Linked DNA regions of Caenorhabditis elegans. The protein of the gene in region 1 interacts with the protein of each later gene in a pairwise test. Each region holds a gene or a part of one and is shown in the gene's direction. Other genes may lie near its edges.

What was found.
Region 2: the proteins of brp-1 (region 1) and pbs-6 interact in a two-hybrid assay, tested with the Caenorhabditis elegans proteins (3 studies listed by BioGRID).
Region 3: the proteins of brp-1 (region 1) and lit-1 interact in a two-hybrid assay, tested with the Caenorhabditis elegans proteins (2 studies listed by BioGRID, with this or other methods).

Annotation. Positions count from the first base shown.
Region 1 is NC_003281.10:12,017,726-12,026,446, forward strand, and holds brp-1 (uncharacterized protein), read left to right. Parts: upstream 1-2,826; coding exon 2,827-2,904; intron 2,905-3,591; coding exon 3,592-3,771; intron 3,772-3,828; coding exon 3,829-4,074; intron 4,075-4,418; coding exon 4,419-4,865; intron 4,866-5,803; coding exon 5,804-6,011; intron 6,012-6,064; coding exon 6,065-6,255; intron 6,256-7,142; coding exon 7,143-7,451; 3' UTR 7,452-7,596; downstream 7,597-8,721. Other genes in the region: Y79H2A.12 (Serpentine Receptor, class BC (Class B-like)), read right to left, coding at 7,834-7,943.
Region 2 is NC_003281.10:8,241,979-8,246,883, reverse strand, and holds pbs-6 (Proteasome subunit beta type-1), read left to right. Parts: upstream 1-2,791; coding exon 2,792-3,057; intron 3,058-3,102; coding exon 3,103-3,496; intron 3,497-3,544; coding exon 3,545-3,661; 3' UTR 3,662-3,762; downstream 3,763-4,905. Other genes in the region: putative GTP-binding protein C02F5.3, read right to left, coding at 22-260, 323-993; cids-1 (CID domain-containing protein 1), read right to left, coding at 1,260-1,358, 1,407-1,554, 1,607-1,851, 1,899-2,082, 2,125-2,258, 2,302-2,439; Putative zinc finger protein C02F5.12, read left to right, coding at 4,015-4,098, 4,520-4,804, 4,854-4,905. UniProt on the Caenorhabditis elegans protein: Non-catalytic component of the proteasome, a multicatalytic proteinase complex which is characterized by its ability to cleave peptides with Arg, Phe, Tyr, Leu, and Glu adjacent to the leaving group at neutral or slightly basic pH.
Region 3 is NC_003281.10:13,711,225-13,717,687, forward strand, and holds the start of lit-1 (Serine/threonine kinase NLK), read left to right. Parts: upstream 1-2,820; coding exon 2,821-2,960; intron 2,961-3,333; coding exon 3,334-3,452; intron 3,453-4,273; coding exon 4,274-4,447; intron 4,448-4,525; coding exon 4,526-4,627; intron 4,628-6,463. UniProt on the Caenorhabditis elegans protein: Has a role in the Wnt signaling pathway controlling the asymmetry of cell divisions during embryogenesis. Operates in the AB and EMS cell lineages influencing cell specification.

The DNA of each region.
Region 1 (8,721 bases):
TTTCCCAGTAATTTTTATTTTCGGCAAATTGCCGGTTTGCAGATTTGCCGTGAATTTGCAGTTCCGGCAATTGACCGACTTGCCGGTTTGCCAGAGATTTTTATTTTCTGCAAATTGCCGATTTGTCGCTTGCCGGAAGAAAACGATTTCTTTAGAGCCATATATGATTTCCTCCAATACTTTTTCAAAAATTTTAAATAAATAAAATAAACTCGTTTTTTCTGTGAGCAAGCACCATATTTACCTTAACACCAAGAGCCCTTGAACATTGCAATTCCTCCAACACCTCTCATAACTGGTTTTCTTTAGATTTCACTGAAATTATTGTATTATTTCCCCCCCCCCCCCTCTCTTCCAAAAATCGTTGCCAAAGACCTGTGTGATAAAGACTCCGCCCACTTTTTCCTTTCTTCGCCAACTGACCTCTTCTTTTTTCACTTTGGACGCCCCCGGGGCGTCGAGACGCATTCGATTCTTCTTCTCTTTTTCAATTTTACCTTGTTTCAATTATTTTCATGGGGGAAGGACGTTTTTAAATAATTTTCTTTTGAAACTAGTTTTTTAGTTACCACTTTTTCATCTTACCCTTTAATGCTTAACGTTGGCCATCCAACTTACCGTTTTTCTTCTATTAGTATTGCACCCGACTATTTAACTTTGAAACGTTATATCTTGGTTCATTTTAATGATATCAATATATTGTTAACCAAGAAATTATAGAAAACGAGCTAACAAATATTTTGTTAGTTGACAATTTTTAAATAGAACTAACTATAACTGAGATATAAGCTGTCAAAGTTGAACAATTGGGGGGGGGGGGGGAATACTAATACGGTAAACTAAATATTATGCTCCTCAAATAGTAACATCCCTTATAGTAATAGGATTTGATAAGTAAGTAAATACCGTATTAACTCTTTTGTTGGTCTATTGAAAATTGCAAAATTTCATAAAAAACCTAAACATTTTCAAATTCCATCTAAATATTTTTTTTTGTTCTGTTATTTTCCTCCAATACGAGACAAAACCTAACCTTGAACCCCCAAAGTGGAACCGTTTCTACTCTGTTCTTTTGCCAGTTGAAGGTGATGTTTTTGTCAAAATATAAGGGTAACCTTCAACAATTTTCTTTCATGTGAAAAATGAAAGACATTTGAAACGGTCAATTGAGTAAGGTGGAGGAGACTCTGCCCCCACAAGAGTGCCCCCACAAGAGTGGGGGAGAAATAAGAAATAATAAAATAAGTAGGCAAGCGTAGGTGGGGGGGGGGGGAGGGGAATACTGTAATTCTGATCGGAGAATATTTAAAATTGTGGCAACCACATTAAAAACCGATAATAACTTATAATAGGACAAAAATAATTTGGAATATACCGTATTTCCTCTTTTAGTTTTGCACCCCTTTGCTCAACTTTGACAGCTCATATCTCATTTTGTTTTGAACATATAAATAATTAACAAACTACAAACTATAGAAAAACATCTCACAAAAATTTTATCAGTTGACAACTTTTCTATGGAACAAAGAACTACTGAGATATGAGCTGTCAAAGTTGAGCAAGCGGGTGCAAAACTAATAGAGGAAATACGGTATGTATCGTAAACTTCTGTATATACATACTTCCCTGTTAGTGTTGCATGTATCAGGGTTGGGCGGTAAATAATTTTTCCGCCAAATTGGCGAATTGCCGGAATTGAAATTTTCAGCAAGTCGGTAAACCGGCAAATTGCCGATTTGCCGCATTTTCCAGAAAAACGGCAATTGTCGGACAGATTGTGGTTTTGCATTTTTTTTTTGTTCGAAATTTCGTGTTTCACTATCAGTCTCATAAAAAAGCCCTCTAAAAACTTCCGGCAAATCGGAAATTTGCCGAAAATCGAAAATTCCGGAATATCAGCAAACCGGCAGTTTGCCGCCCACCAATACTAGTTCTAAATGAATATTTTTTAGAGCAAACGGGCTTTTTCTCACCAATTTTTTCGTTTTAAGACAGTTCTCGATATGAGTTTAACTAACTAAAAATCACAAAATTTACAAAAAAAATTATTATAACTCACATTTTTTAAAAATCATGCAGAGCGCTAAAAATACCAAAAATCATACTAAAACATTTCAAAAAAATGTAGACATTTTTTCGAAGAATCTGCAGCATGTATGAATATTTCAAAAATAATTAAAGCATAAAACTGGAATCAGAACTTTTTTTTTAACTCAAAATGAAAAATGTTCCGAAATTATATTAATAGCTTTACTATGATATTTGTTCATTTTAGGCCGTACTCCACCTTGTATGCAGGCACATTAATATTTATAATAAGAGAAAAATAAACCCTCCGCATTTGAATTAACACATCCTACCTATTTTTACCTGAACCATCAAACTTTGTATATTATACTCTGCCCTTAAACCCTTGCTGCAAAAAATGGAAAAGAAATCAAAAATCAAAGTATCCTTTATCATTTTAAAATTTTTCACAGAAATCTTTATCATCATCTGATCGAGATTTTCTGGTCAAAAACAAAAACGAATGACGTCATTCCTCTCTCAAGTGTACAGTAACCAAGTGGCCGGCTATTTTAAAAACTCGTTTTGTGTGTTTCTTCAAAACTTGGTGTCACTTCCTATCAAAACATCGGGAGATCATTTTTTGTTCATTTTCCTACACCGCGCGGAAGAGTCGTGAATGCCAACCTGTCAAAAATGTTTAATGCTCCGCGAGAGAAAGTGAGCCGCTTCTCTAATTCTCCTATTGTGCGCATTGATCTCTTCTCTTTTTTTTGTTTTTGTCTTTTACTCGAATATCTAATCAAGAATCATTTACAGATGACCAAACTAGGCGCACAGCCCGGCGTTCACGGGAGTGAGGACGTTGAGAAGGAGTCTATCAAGATCGATCCAAAAGTGAGTTTCTATTAAAAATATTCAAATTTTCTGAGAACTGTTTTTAGTGCGAAGTTCAAATTTTCTCATAAAAAAATTTCAGCTGGAAATTCGAATTTTTTTTAAGAGATCACGTTTTGGCGCGAATTACAAATTTTATGAGTAACAAGTCGTAGTGTCAGAGTGTCCCATTTCGGCTTGATCTACATAGATCTACAAAAAATGCGGGATTTCAGACGCAGGCTTCTCAGCTGATTTCGCATGGTTAAGAACATGGCTGACGTCATGTTTTTTGGGCAAAAAAGTTCCTGCATTTTTTGTAGATCAAACCGTGATGGGGCAGCCCGGCACCACGTGTAAAAACAGTTTGCCTCGAAATTCAAAATTTTTCACAAAAAAATTTTAGCTGGAAAATCAAATTTTCTGAGAAAACGTATATTGGCGCGAAGTTCAAATTTTATTAGAAATTTTTTTGGCGCTAATTTAAAGTTTTATGAGAAAATACATTTGACTCGAAATTCAAACTTTATGAGAAAACGTATTTTGCCGCGAAATTTAAATTATCCGAGAATAATTTTTGGCGCGAAATTCAAATTTTCTGAGAACATTTTTTGGCGCGAAATTCAAATTTTCTCACAAAGAATATATTCGGTAACAATAATAATAATAACGTTAGTAGAAATATCAACAAAATCTGAATTATTCCAGGTGTTCACAGTCCTCCAGCCCACAGTGATCCCAATGCCGGCTCCACCAATGAAGCCTGCTCCATCGCCAGCTTTCCAGGCGATGAGAGCATGCTTCCATTGCATGTTCTTTGCCACGTGTCTTTTGCTGGTGACACTCATCGGTTTCTACTTCCTCGCCGCTACTCCTGATCTCTTCAAGGTACAGGGTTTTTTTTTAATTTTAAGCTTTTTTAAACTTAATTAATTGATATTCCAGAAAACCGAAACATCCGTGAACAAGCCACAAATGGAGGCACTTCTAGCTCAACCAATTGATGGATCATCTGAAAAGACTATAAACTCTGCGGAAAATCCAGGAATGATGGCAATTCCCTTGGCTCGGGTAGTTGTAGTGGAGGATATTTCGAATAATGAAGGTCAAAAGAAGACAACTGTTGATGGATCAGTTGAGGAGAAGTCCTCTACCAATTTGGATCGCCCACTTCATCCAGATGAGATTGAGGTTAGTTACCAAATTATACCATATATATACATAAATATGGATTTGTATATATATATATATATAAATATATATATATATATATATATATATATATATATATATATATATATATATATATATATATATATGCATATGTAGGGCTTCCATAGACAGGCGCGGTTCCAGGGCCTGCCTGAAGGGAATGCCTACCCGCCTCAAGCCAGCTAAACTGCTTTAAAAATTTTAGGCCATTTTTTGAGCTGCCATAACTTTTTTTTCAAGAGGTTTTTAAGAAGTTTCATTAAGAAATTCGATATTTTCAGACAATTTTGAGTCTAATAAATCAATAAAAGCAATTTTTTCAGCAATACCGAATGATGGAGGCCCGCCAACAATTCCAACAAATAATGGAGGAACGTATGTACATGCAACAAATGATGGCAATGCGAATGATGAGAATGAGAAGACTTCAAGCCGCCTACTACCAACAACAACAAATGAAGATGGCCTACATGCAACAACAACAGCAACAGATGCAGGAAGAGGCCGCCCGTCAGCAATGGGCCGAGAGATCCCGCTATGAAGAGGAACAACGTCGTCAGTACGAGGCTCAACAGACCTATGCTCAACAGCAGCGTGCTCAAGCTTTCTGGCAACAACATCAGTTGGAGATGCAGGCTCAGACTCAGCAGGCTCAGGCCCAGGCCCAATGGCAACAGCAGGAGCAACAGCCACAGGAGCAGCAGAGACAGAGATTCTGGCCAAGACCAATGATGCATCAGCAACAATGGGAGAGACCAACTGTCTGGCAGGTAAGGCGATTTGTAGATTTTTAGATGATGGGCTACGAATTTTTTGGCATTTGGATTTTAGACACATTTTCCATTTTGAAAAATTTGAATTTTTGCTTTTTTTTTTCATAATTTTTTTCAAAAAACTTCGAAAATTTTTCGTCGTATTTGGATCAGGGGTGGGCGGCAATTGCAGTTCGGCAAATTTTTTTTGAGTAAATTGGCAACTGAAAATCGGCAATTTGCCGGTTAGCCGATTTGCCGGAAACTTTTGATTCCGGCAACTTGTCGGTTTTCCGGGAATTTCCAATTCCGGTAATTTGCCGATTCGCCTGAAATTTTCAATTCCGACAGTTTTCCGATTTGCCTGAAATTATCAATTCCGGCATTTTGCAGATTTGCCGGAAATTGTAAATTTTGGCAATTTGCCGATTTGCCGGAAATGTTCAATTCCGGCAATTTTTAGATTTGCCTGAAATTATGAATTCCGGCAGTTCGCCGGTTTGCCGGAAATTTTCCATTCCGGCAGTTTGTCGATTTGCCGGAAATTTTCAATTCCGGAAATTTGTCAATTTGCATGAAATTTTTAATTCCGGCAATTTGCCTGAAATTATCAATTCCGGCAGTTTGTCGATTTGCCGGAAATTTTTAATATCGGCAATTTGCTGATGTGCCGGAAGTTATCAATTCCTGCAATTTGCCGATTTGCCTGAAATTTTCAATTCCGGCAGTTTGTCGACTTGCCGGAAATTTCAGTTCCGGCACTTCGCCGGTGTGCCGGAAAATCTTAATTCCGGCAACTTGCCGATAAGCCAGAGATTGTGAATTCCGGCAATTCGCCGGCTTGCCGAAAAAAATCGTTTGCCGCCCACCTCTGTTTTTTGCTTAGTTTTCGGGATCTGAAACCGATAAAAATTTTCACTATTTTTTTTGTCAAAAAACCATCAAAAAAATTCCAGCAACCACCCCAACAATTCTTCTTCCCATCCCAACAACAACAGCAGCATCAGCAGCAACCACAACAGACCCAACAACCTGAGGACCGTTTCCCACAGGCTCCACAATTCTTCCAACCAATCCCACAACCATCAGTTCACGATAAGATCTACGAGGAACTTCAGAAGAAGTCGCAGAACATTCCAGTCAACGCACCAACTCGTCAAATCTGTTAGTTGTTTTTTTTGCAAAAAGCCCAAAAATTTCAATTAATCTTGTATCAGGGACAGCAATCACTCCAACTCCAGCTCCAGAAGCTGCATCTGGAACTGCTGACGTCACAGCTTCACCCATCAACACTGCATTCCCAGCAGTTGTCACGAGCAGCACACCAATGCCAGAGGATGCCGCTGAGGTTTCTGATACTATTCTCAGAGATATCTTCTCAGCTTTCGATGAGCAAAAGAATTCAGAGGTTTGTACATCAGGAACATGTTGGTTCGGCAAATCGGCAAATCGGCGAATCGCCGGTTTACCAATTTGCTGCCGATTTGCCGGAAATTTTGCCGATTTGCCGGAAATTTTCATTTTCGGCACTTTGCCAGTTTGCCGATTTGCAGGAAATTTTCTATTTCGGCAACTTGCCGGTTTGCCAATTTGCCGAAAATTTTCAATTCCGGCAATTTGCCAATTTGCCGGAAGTTTGAGTTCCGGCAATCTGTCGATTTTCCGATTGACCGGAAATTACAATACCGGCAGTTTGCCAATTTTCCGGAAATTTTCATTTTCGGCACTTTGCCAGTTTGCCGATTTGCAGGAAATTTTCTATTTCGGCAATTTGTCAAAAATTTAAGTTCAGGCAATTTGCGGATCTGGTTCCAGCAGTTTGCCGATTTGCCAAAAGTTTTAATTCGGGCAATTCACCTATTTGCCGAAAATTTCAATTCCGGCTCTCTGCCGGTTTGCCGAGTTGCCGGATATCAATTTGCCGGAAGTGTTTAGAAAGATTGTTTATTTATATATAGTCGGCACGGTACAATTTTGCCGACTAATATTGTAATTCTGAAGTTCTGAAATTGCCAAAAAAAAGTGCAAAACCACAATTTGCCGGAATTAAAATTTCTGGCAAATCGGCAAACCGGCAAAAATTTGAATTTCAAAAAGGCAAGTGTTTCCGTCTTATAAAAAATTTCTCTAAAAATTTCCGGCAAATTGATGTTCGGTAAACGGCAAATCAGCAATTTTCCGAAAATCAAAATTTCCGGCAAATTGACAAACCGGCAATTTGCCAAATTTGCCGAACGGCAATTTCCGGCCCACCCCTGTTTTGTGCTCACTGAGGCATAATGAGTAATATTCCAGGCGGCCAACAAAGAGCTCAACTCAGCCACCCCATCAACCACCGAAGAGCCAGAACTCGAAGGAAAGGGAGCAATTGTGATTGAGGACAGCTTCCCAAGAATCGAAGAACGCACCACAACACCTGAACCAATGGAATCTGAAGAAGATGCTGAACATACATCATCTGAAGATAATCATGAGAAGGAGTTGGATCCATTCGCAGCTGTTCTCAAATTCTTCGAGAACAATCCACCACGTGAGGCTCTCGAGGCAGCAGGGGCTGAGACAGCAGCAACCACTCAGAAACCATTGAAACCACTGATTGTTTGAGAATTTTAATTTTGAGCTGAGCTAAAAAAAAATAATTTTCGAATGTAATAATTGTTATACAATTCGTCCTCCCCCGATTATTTTCCATCATCATCATCATCCCATCTTTTACGCGTGCAGGTTTGTAAATAAAATTATTCGCTGTTGAATTTGTATTTGCAAATCAAGAAAAAAAAAGTATTTATTTCAGAACGTGTGGTGTCAGAGTGTCCCATGTTGGTTTGATCTACGTAGATCTACAAAAAATGCGGCAGAGTTCTCAACTGATTTCGCATGGTTAAGAACGTGCTGACGTCACACTTTTTTTGGCAAAAAATTGCCGCATTTTTTGTAGATCAAACCGTGGTGGGACAGCCTGGCACCACGTGTTTCCAAGGAACTTTCAAAACTTCATCACATTTGTTAAATCCGACTGTCTAACCAGCATCCCATTCTCGATTCGTTTTGCATAGACGTAACATCGATTGATTAGAATGAATTTGATTATTGATACTGAAAAATTTTTAAACAATTTTTCGCTTTAAATTACAGAATATACGCCTAGAATATATGACCAAATATGACTGTGAAAATTTTTTCAAAAATGTCCTAAACTTTTAGTGAATTTTTACATATTTCAAAATTCATAGAAACGACCGAATTAAATTTGAAACATTTGAATTCCCGCGCAAATGAGTGACGTCATTTTCGATATTTTGGCAAATCGGCAAAATGGCGAAATTGAAATTTCCGGCAAATCGGCAAAATGGCGATATTGAAATTTCCGGCAAATCGGGAAAAGGGCGAAATTGAAATTTCTGGCAAATTGCCGGAATTGAACTTTCCCGAAAATTGTCAAGTTGCCGATGTTGAAATTTCCGGCAAATCTGTAAATTGCCGGAATTGAAATTTCCGGCAAATCGGCAAAATGGCGAAATTGAAATTTCCGGCAAATCGGCAAAATGGCGAAATTGAAATTTCCGGCAAATCGGGAAAAGGGCGAAATTGAACTTTCCCGAAAATTGTCAAGTTGCCGATGTTGAAATTTCCGGCAAATCTGTAAATTGCCGGAATTGAAATTTCCGGCAAATCGGCAAAATGGCGAAATTGAAATTTCCGGCAAATCGGCAAAATGGCGAAATTGAAATTTCCGGCAAATCGGGAAAAGGGCGAAATTGAACTTTCCCGAAAATTGTCAAGTTGCCGATGTTGAAATTTCCGGCAAATCTGTAAATTTCCGGAATTGAAATTTCCGGCAAATCGGGAAAAGGGCGAAATTTAAATTTCCGGC
Region 2 (4,905 bases), 3.8 Mb from region 1:
ATTTTAAGCGTTAAAAATTACCAAGATCTGGTGCGTTTCCAGGTTTCTTCGTGTAGACTCTCACTAATGCCAAATATTCCCACATTTTCTCTAAAAGGTAGTCCATATTGAGGTTCATTTCACATGAAATAACGACGTGATGAGGCATTCTAGCTAATCGATCAATTTCTTCAATCGAAATTTGATCGACTTTATTGTAGACATAGAGGCACGTCATGTATACACGATTTCCTTGAATTACATCAATAAACTCATCGACTCTGTAATTAATAAATATATCAATTTGGGACTTCTGCTCAGTGATAATTAAAAAAAAACATACGTGCAATCCTCGCGGAAAATAACGTCAGCATTGAAAATCTTGTACTCGTGCAATACTGTCATAATCAATTTCTCATTACAATGAGTTAACGGAACAGTATTTGTGAATTTCACGCCTCCAACTTTCTTTTGTTTGACATAGATATTTGGTGGCTTTTTGTTTAATCGAATACCAACAGCTTCTAATTCTCGCTCCAAAAGCATCTTCTGTTGGTCACTCTTTCCTGCATCAAGCATCATAAGAATTAAATCTGCAGTTTTTGCAACTGAGATAACCTGTCTTCCTCTTCCTTTTCCCTGAGAAGCTCCTTCAATGATTCCAGGAAGATCGAGCAATTGAATATTGGCTCCGTTGTAAGAGATGACACCAGGAATGCACGTAAGAGTTGTGAATTCATATCCAGCAGCTTCTGAGTGAGTGGAAGTCATTGAGGACAATAGAGTCGATTTTCCGACGGAAGGAAATCCAACCATTGCAACTCTCGCATCTCCACTTTTCATTACATCGAATCCTTCTCCTTTGGCACCTCCTTTGCCTGTTGGTTCTAACAATTGTTGACGATATTTTGCCAACTTTGCTTTTAGAAGACCCAAATGGTATTCAGTGGCTTTATTCTTTTGGGTTCTTGAAATTTCATGTTCGATTTCTGCAATTTTCTCCAGAATACCCATCTGTAAAATATCAGCTTTTAAACAATTAATTTCAAACTTTCAGAGATAAACACTGGTTAAGAACCGTTTTCAGATAATAGAACTAACTTGAATTTTAGAAAAAATAAATTCATTTAAGGTGGTTCAGAAGAAAAACGTATAAAGCACTTATGTGGTAATGGTGATCACGATTGTAAAAGATCAAAGTGAACAAAAATTATACAACAATGGGGGTACAGTAAAAGCTACTGAGATCGTAAAGTTATAATTATGACGTAGTATGATACTTATTTTTTCCTCTTCTCGAACAAAGCTTCAAGTGTTGGCAATGGTGCATTTGGCATCTCAGCAGCCAAATCTGGCAACGATTCGAATGTTTTTTCAACCTGAAATTCAATTCAAGTCTGCAAAAACTGATTTTCTAGTTTTCAAACCTCTAACAAATCTGCCTTGATTCGATCTTCTCTACGCTTAACTTCTCTGCACAATTTCTCGTGATGTTCAATGCTCATTCTAACATTTTCTATAAGCATATTCAAGTTCGATTCGAGAGTTTCGCGTTCATTTGTCTCGTTTTTCAGCCTGAAAGCATAAGTTAATGTACAAAATCAATTCACAAAAGTTTCAATCAAACCTTTTAACATATTCCTCCAGCATCGGAAGAGCTTCTTCATTTTGGACCAACAGAGACTGTGCTTCTTGCGAACTTCGAACTGACTGCAACTTTTCTGGGCACGAAATATTATCCGGATATTTTGAAAGTTCTGTGCGAATTTCTCTTTCCGTGCTCGGCGGGTTTTGAAGGCGCTTCAAACTGAGCAAAACATCTTGTGCATTCTTTTTCGCTTCTTCAACGACGAACTGACTAGGTTGAGCGACCTTAAGCTCATTTTGGCATTCTTTTGGAATTTATTAAATTCACACACCTTTCCATGTTCCTTGTTCGCAACTGCGGGTGTTGGGAAGCTTCCAGATAGCTTAACTTGTTGATGAACTTCATGAAGCCGTTTGCATTGTGATGGAGTGAATATCTGACGATCTTTCCATACATTGATCAGTTTACCAATTGCATGTTCCACTTCTTTTGCATTTTTCAACTCGATTGCATGCCTGAAATTAATTTTGAGATTAGACGTTTGAAAATGCCAATACCTGAAAGAACTTTCTATTGCGGGAAAAAATTCGTCCTTGAATTGTGGGCAAGTCTTTCTCGCATTTTGGCTTACATCATTCGCCACATAAAGAAGATTTACAATTTTTGAGCCGTGTGTTTCTTTCTTTACTGTCTGAAATACAACACTAAAAAATGATACAATATGAATAAAATACCTTTAGCCAAACTCGAATGATCAATTCCCGATTGCTATGATTTTGCAAAAGCCAGGCAGAAGTCGTCTGAATTGAGGAAGGGTGGTTTGATAAATTTGTTAACTTCTGTCGCAAAGTTTGCTCTGTGAAATCTGCCATCTGAAATATCAATTATTGAAAAAAAGAAATCACAAAAATTTTAATCAGAAATGTAGATAAAGCGATGAATTGTCCTCAAAAATACCTTGGAAAAATGAATTTTCATTCAAAAAAGAGAGGAAAACGCGTTTCAATAAATTTCAGCAAAGTGTCGTATAGTTCGATGTGCGATGTGCATTTGAACGCGCAGAAAACTGCGGACTAAACATTGTAAATGACGATGTCTCTCATTGTCAGCATTTCCTGTTATGTTGAATTCTCAAATTTCGAGCATTTGTTTTCTGTATTAATTGAATTTTGTCATATTGAATATTTATATTGTTTCAACTAAATAAGTATACGCCTTTTTCAGATGACAAGCTTCACTGGAATCACGGCTGTCGCCAACGCCACCAATGAAATGGCAATGTTCAAGCAGGCAATGAAGGAAGTTGCAGCTCATCCAGAGTGGATGAGTTCCAGACAAATTGAGCGTCAACGCTGGAACCCGTATTCAATGGAGGGAGGATCAACCTGTGCCATTTCTGGGGAGAACTTTGCCATCGTGGCAAGTGATACTAGAATGACCCAAAACGACATCAACATTCTTACACGTGACGCAGAGAAGATTCAAATTTTGTAAGCCAGTATTTGTCTTTGTTTTAATAATAATTCTTAATTCAGGAATGATAACATCATCCTCACCACCTCTGGATTCTATGGAGATGTCCTCCAATTGAAGAAAGTTCTCCAATCTCGTCTCCACAAGTACCGCTTCGATTATCGCTCTGACATGTCTGTGGATCTTTGCGCAGAACTTCTCTCCCGCAACCTCTATTACCGTCGGTTCTTCCCATACTACACTGGAGCTATTCTTGCCGGAATTGACGAGCACGGAAAAGGGGCCGTGTTCAGTTACGACCCAATCGGATGTATCGAGCGTCTTGGATACTCAGCCAGTGGAGCCGCTGAACCAATGATCATTCCATTCTTGGATTGTCAAATCGGGCACGTTACGCTCTCTGAAGGATATGAGCGTCCGGAACTCACATTGGACAGAGCCATCTCATTGATGAAGGTATAATTGAATTTCGTAATTTTAACCTAATTCATTTATTTTTTCTAGGATTCGTTCCGTGGTGCTGCTGAGCGTGAAATCTCTACTGGAGACAAAATTCACTTGGTCATCGCTGAAGCCGGAAAGCCAGTCGTCGTAAAGTTCCTGCCACTTCGTGAGGATTAATTATTGCAGTATCTATCTCATTTTATTTTAACTTATTCGTATCCTCTTCCCCTCTGAAATTGTTTTACCATCCCGGTAATCTGATAAATATTCCTCCACTTATATGTTGTAGTCTACAACATGACTACATTTCGGCGTCCAACGCAAACTACAAAATAGAGAGAAAAATGCAGAGAGCGAAAACACACAGGGCAAGAACGCACGAGTGAGACACAAGATATAATGCAAAAGAAGGAGTGAGTCGGCGCTGCTTAGAACCGTCTGCGTTTCGAGTCTCTTACTTTGTGGTCTGCCCAGCTGTGTCATTGATTCATTCCTGCTTTGCAACTCGACAAGTTGGTATTTACTGAAAAATGTCAACTTATATTCAAGTTAACATCTACAATCAAACTTTGGAAGTTCTCAAAATGCGAGGACTCGATTTGCAATCTATTTTGGTAGGTCAAGCTTTTGGCAACATTTAGCTTCTAATTATATAAATATTCCCGAGATTAGAAAAACTTGAGTAATAATTATTTTGGCAATAAAAATAATATGACAGGTTATTCTTTATGTAATGGTCGATCAAAAATCATAAATACTGTATTTTATAAAATTGTAATTTTGGAATGATATTACTGTAGGAAACAACTCTAAATTAGGAATAGTACTTTTAAGCTAATGTGTTTACAAAATCCCCAGTGGCTCAAACTACTTACTCACTTTGATGTTCCACAAACTGAACTAATCAAAGCACCAAGGCACTACAATTGCCTAGAAAAGCGAAAACACGTTAAAATTTCAAATTGTTTATAAATTTTGAGTCAACTTTTTGGTAAATTGCATTTAATGAAACCTCCAAATAAAATATATTTAAAGAAAACGATTGGTTGTCCGGATTCGTGGGTGACAGAAGTTCCAATTCATCCTCCTGCACAGAAAATTCAAAAACCGGCAACTCCACCAACCTCATGTGCCCCACAACTAGTTTCATCTCCAAAATGTCTAGAATCTATATCTGCACAATCACAAAATGTTCTCAAAAAACCATTTAAAAGCATTTCCGCTGAACTTGGATTTGCTCAACCATTGAATTTAGTCGATACTCTGGGTTTGAAGCCACGAGATTCAGATGCGATGAGCAGAGGAAAGAGACCAGCATCTGTAAGTTGGAAAAATTGGGAATTTATTGGTTTATTAAAAACTAATTCAGGTTCTAAAAGGATTATTTGATGACTGGGATCCCACTGCAAATTTAGATATTC
Region 3 (6,463 bases), 1.7 Mb from region 1:
ATTTTCATAAATCTTAATTCTCATAAATCTGATTCTTCAAATATGTCTTACCACAGCTTCTTTTGGTCTCAAACTTGAGATCCTAATTTTTAAATGTTTTTCTCAGTGCAAGCTTCCATTTTTGTGTTCTAAAAATTTAAAAAATGCCCGAATTTGATTCTCCAAAATGTTCTTTCCTGCAACTTTGTGCGGTCTCTGATAAAATGTAGATTCAACTTATAGGCGGCATTTGCCGGGTTTTTATCTTTTTGGCAAATTGCCTGTTTGCCGTTTGCCGGATATCAGACTAGCCGGAAATGTTTAGAGGGATTTTTTATAAGACGGAAACACTTAAAACTGTGTCTTTTTGAATTTTTTCGGTTTTTTCTACATATTTTCATAAAATTTGCTTACTTTTCAAAATAGATGTAGGAGTATGCATAGGATGCGTTTAATTTTGCCATTTGAAATTGAAATTCTGAAATTTCCAAAAAAATAATTGCGAAACCACAGTATGCCGAAAATGTTTGGCGAATTCGGCAAATCGGTAATTCGCCGGCTTGCCGATTTGTTCAATTCCGGCAATTTGCCGGAAAAAATCGTTTGAAAGCCCAAATTTTACGCATAGATAATTAAGCCCCTCTCAGAAAAATTCAAGATGAACTAATTGGTCACACAAATTAATTAAAAGCTCTTTTTTATTTTAAAATGATTAAGTTAACAATAACCTCATGAATCTGAATCTTCGAGGTATGTCTTCCTTCAAATTCGTTGGGTTTCCAATAGAAAATGTTCAATTTTTTATCACTTTCCTTTAACTTTTTCGTAATTTTTATTTGTTTTTTTTCACTTTCTTCTTCGCAGTTGCTTTTCCGCGTCCTTGTATAGTAGTCGTCAAAGCAGTCGGCGGCGTTCTATTTTTTTTTTGCTTGCTTGCTTTTGCTATGTCTCGTGTGTGCCCAATAACAACAACAACCACATATATAGCCGTCTTCTGGATATATATGTATGTGGGTGTGTGTGTGTTATGGCTTTTCTTCGAACTTTTTATTTCACTCGGAAACTTTCAAGATTTGTCTTTTCTGATGCTTTTTAGGATTCCAGGAATTTTATTCGTTCGAACTAGTAAGTATGAAGTTAGAGTTCACAGCAAATTTTCATCAAAATTCGGAAAAAAACTGGTTTTTATATCGTAGCCCTACAAAAATAGAGAAATAAAAAAATCGAAGGGTCAGATTCACCAGTGTTATTTTTCGATAATTTGTCAGAAAAATTTGGGAATTAGAAACTTTACGAAGTCTAGTGAGTTGCAAATTTTTAAGAATCAAATTTGCTAATTTTCCTTCTTATTTTCGGATCAAATTTTCATTTCATATGAAATATTTCATAAAAAACAAAAAATCAGATTTTGTAGATAGAGCCCACAATGTAAAGGAACTACAACATCTGTAGAACCGGATCTGTTAGATTTTTTCTTCGAGTTTTACAAAATTTCAGACTTCCCAAGTTTTTTGTTTGAGTTTTGGCTCAGAAATTTCGAACATAAAACTTGGAGAATCAGATTCCCGGCTTTTAGAGAAAGTTCCGATTAGGGGCACCACAAATTGAGAAAACAAACATTCTGGAGAATCAGAGTTTCGATTTTTTGTTGCCAAAAACGACATCCTTGCTCCAACTGTCAGCATGCCAAACAACAGACACCCCTGTTGAAAATTTTAAATTCCAAATGAAACGGGGATGGGGTACATCGTAGTAATAGTAGTAGTTGGTTCTTAGGGGAGCACATCTCTGCTTCTTCTTCTTCGCAGCTTTTCGGTCTTCTGCGTCCGTTTGAGTGGTCAGTCAGATGTATGAGAGTGCGTTCCGTATCTCTCTGCGTCTCCACACCCTTGACCACTCTCTACGCCGTCGTGCTCTCTGTGTCTCGCCCGACTATCTCGAATAGAAAGTGACCACTGCTACATAATATTCGAATTCGCGGGGGGGGGGGGGTCTGTCTACTGCTGCTGCTGCTGGGTGGCCGTTTTCCTTGCCACACACTCTCTCGTCTCTCTTGCTCTTTGTGCATCTCATAGTTTGCTACTCGCGATCAGCTGTAGTCAACGTTCTCATATATACAGTATGCTTTTTGTTGAAAGTTTTGCCATATTGCCACGGCAAATTTTTTGGTACTTTAGTGGTTTTTTATTTCAAATCACCACGAACTTTTATAATTTTCCTCGATATTTGCATTTCCTCATTTTTTGCCAATGAAATTGTAAATTTTTCGCATTATTCTGTATGCTAGCACTTGTTTTCCAGCTTTACTTTACTCCCTTGTCCTCTCCCCGCCCCCAAAAGTACCAGAATAAGGTGTTTCCAAATTAGTTGTCCTTATCTTTCGAGGAGCCTCGTTTTAGAAAATGTGTACTTTTCTGCTCAATTCCCGGACACTTTTTCCGGGAATTCAGAAAAAGTCTGAACCACTACTAATTCTAATGTGATATTCTGAAGTTAGTCTTCATAATGATATATGCTAGCAATTTATATAACTAATTTTTCACATGGCGCACACATATCCTCATATCAGAACATATCAGAAGTTCTTGTTATTTTCCCGTTCCCCAAAAGTAACAGAGTAATAAAAAATTTCGAAATCCCGAGGGACGGTCCTTGGGGAGGTCGGGGTCATCACCCTCAACGTACATGGTACCGGGGGCCTGGTGGCGACAGGTAGTGAGGTCTCTCTTCTCAGTCCTGTTAGCACACACACAGTGGAGGGGTGCGTGCGCGCTCGCTCACTCGCCTACAGATCCGAGATGAATCGTAGACGCGTATTGAGGAAGACGGTGTTGGGTGGTGATGGTGTCGTGGGGAAGGGGGAAGGATGCGTACTATCTCTATATTTCTCGAGAACAAGAAGAAGATGATGACGATTCACTTTCCTTCTACTCGTCTCAGAAAGACACGGAGGACGAATTCTGCGGGTGCCTTTTCCCCGAGTAAATTTTCACATGTTTACAAAAAATGTTCATTATGAGCCTCTGTATTGCTTAAATTTGTCAATCATAAAATATTTTAAATAGGCAGTTCTCCTGAAAATAATACATTGAAAAATTTCGTTATTAAACCATTTTTGGTTTTTTTGTTGGAAATTTTTTTGTTGGCTTGATAAATTTGGCACAATTTCGTTTTCCGAGAGGAGAACAACTTTTATTTCCTTCTTCATCTATTTCCTCCTTTTTTTCAGAATTCTCTAGAAAAAAAACAAAAAAAAAAGAAGGCGTCCTCTCTCGTCATGAATGAATAACACTAGTTCCGCCTCACTTTTTCATGTTCTTTTTTCTTCTTTCTTTTTTCTTTCTTTTTTTCAAGTCCAGAAATTCCAGGATCAAGCAGTTCATCCGGCTGTAGTTCGTCATCTACAGAGCTCTACGATCTTGCAGCTGCACACGCCGCACTTATATCCCGACAGCAACAGATTCTCAGTCAGGGTGTGTTTTTGTGGAAAAATTAAAACAAATTGAGTTTTACATGTCCGGAAATGTGTGTCTCGCCACGAACTTTGTGGAATTCGTTGGGAGACCCTATTGTTTTTTTTAATAAGCTAAGAAATTGAGATTTTCGCTCATTCATGTGAAAAAAATAACGCTCGCTAATCTTTGTATTAGAATTAGAGTTGATTTGCTTTTATAATCCAGTTCAATTTGTCTACAAATTTTCTTTTTAAACAATTAAACTAGTTTGGAAAATGGATAATTAATTTTTAAACCTAACCGTTGAATTATTGATCGAAAAATGAAAATTAATTAAAAGTACTGTAAACTTTAAAGGAGCATACCTTTAGTTTCGTACTGGGTTCCACCACGATTCGAGAAATCATACATTTTATAATATTTTCTCGATTTTCGTGCCTAAGATATCTTTTTTTAATATTTAATTGAAACAAATTTTTTATTTTAAAATGTTCATTCTAACCGAAATTTCCAAACCCCATTGTTTGCTCCCGAAACACGAATTTTCAAATAGTTCAGTACTGTAAGATTTAAAGGCGCCCAAACTGTCTCTTGCAGTAGGTCTCGTCACGATCGGAGAAATTCTAAAAAAGTTTTTGTTTTTTCGTTTCGAATTTTTGTTTTTCTGCTCAATTTCTTCGCTTTGTTAGCTAAAAAATGTGTAAAATTTATCATTAAAAAAAACAAAGTTTCAACAATTTTCAGTACCTCTTCATATAATTCACATGAAATTGTCTAATTTTTAGCCAATTTCAGAGGATTTTCCGAAAAACTCAATAATTAATCAAGAATTGTTTCAGCAATCCCAATAATACCGGAACACCAGCTGGCCGCCGTCGCCGCTCACCATCAACATCACCAGCAGCTTCACCCATCGGTACAGTACCAGCTCGTCGCTGCCGCCACCCATCACAATCATCATCAGCCGCAAGCGGCACAACCACACTATTCAGCAGTTGTGCCACGATCTGACGGTTTGTTAAATAATGTTTTAAACGTTGAAAATTGTTTTTTTTTTCAATAAAAAAGTAATGTTTTTTTTAATTTTTCAGTAATACAACAACCACCACACTTTGCTCTGCACCACCATCTTCAGAATTTGGTTCAACAGCAGCAGCAACAGCAGGCTCACCATCATCATCAGCAATTAGTTGGTGAGTCGACCGATTTTTTTTCACGAAAACAAAAAATTAAAAAATAATTACCGAAAATCCGGAAAAAAACATTAAAAAATGAACGGAACAATTTCCCTTTTTTTAAAAGTTAACTTATGAAATTTTTGAAAGATAAAAAAAAATATTGGGAAAAATTTTCAAGCCTCAAAAATCTGGTTTTTAAAACTAAAAACTAATTTTAACAATAGTTTCAAATTTTTCTGTAAAAACCAAAATTCCCAACAAAATTTTTTTGAATCATGATATTTGTAAAAATCTATTTTCTTGATTTGTTAACAAACTTTCGAACCATTTCCCTTTTTGTTTACTTTTTAATATCTCAAAGTTCACGTGTAGTTCTGTTAGCCGGTCTTTACAAATTTAATCAGTTGCTGCCTGTCAAAGTGCACAAGTCCTTCTACTACTTTATTTTCCATCTCCTCTACCGTAATGTCCTTGTCTCCCCTGAATGACCTACAAAGAACACACTCCGCTCTTTCTAGAAAAGACTGCTTTCTCTGTTAAAGCACATGTTTTTTGTTGTTGTTACTCTCCGTCATCAGCTTCGGGGTGTTTTTTTTATTCTGGAATTCTTAGAATTTTCTCAGTTCACCGTGACTCACTTCTCAGAACTACTACGATTTTCTAACAGAAATCTGAAAGACATTTATTGCGAAATATGATGACTAAAAAAGAGATCAAGTTCGGCTTTTTTGAGCCATTTTTTCCGAATAAACCCGTTTTTTTTAATGTTCTGAATTTTCTATCATTTCCAAAAAAAAATATTGTGAAAAAAATTTTTATGATGCTCTTACTCTTTGCCATTTAAATTGGAACACTAATTGTCAATTTTTCAGACATTTTTCCGCGTAGAAATAAAAATTGGCCTATAAATTGTTCGTTTAACAATTAATTACTTGATAGAAAAACGATTCTTCCTTTTAATTTTTTTTTGAATAACGGAAAATTATATATAAAAAATGCCTATTTTCTTTTCTGAAATTTAGTATGAAAACCAGTTAAACACTACTTAGTTAATCTTTATTCGATATATCTTTATCAATCTGAAATTCACTAACGATTCATTTATGACGCTCAAACATGTGAACTCCGTTGATCACATACACACAAATTCACGTTATGACGAACATAACACTAGATATGTCGAAAAACGCATATACACAGATTATATTGCTAGTGACGCAATTTTTGAGTGAAATGGAAAAAAGGGAGATAATGGCAACAGCGAATACGTAAAGGTGGAATTAATTAGATTTCAGCTCAGATCTAGAAATAAGTAGAGAGTATGTGCTTAGACTACATTTTGTGCTCCTTTGGACTATATTAATTCCGCTAAAATGGAATGTCCTACATTTTTAGTTTTTCGTCCTATTCATTTTTAAATTGATTTAGTCTATTTTTCTTTAATATTCCCCGACTTGGCCTAAAAAAGTTCTTCACAAGATTTCTCGCTCCACCTAGTGAGCTAGACTTCTCCCGTTCTTTTTCGTCAAATATATTTTCTGATCTCTACACACTCAAAATGGTCCGAATTTAAATTTTATCTACTTCTAGACACTTGTTTTTCGATATTTTGAACGGATATGTCTTTAATAGGTGTAATTTTGTTTTTTAATCTTTTTGGGAAAAAAATCCAATTAAGCTTTTCGATCTCTCCAAGGCGCACCACATTGAGAATATCCTGTCTGACTCAGAATCCCCCAGTGCTCTGAACTTGCACTCCAAATCCAAAAAAGGTCATTTCTTAGACGTGGTTCACTCATTTATTCGTTCCTAAAAAAGGGAGGCTGTCTGTGTCACGCTGCGTCTCTCCTA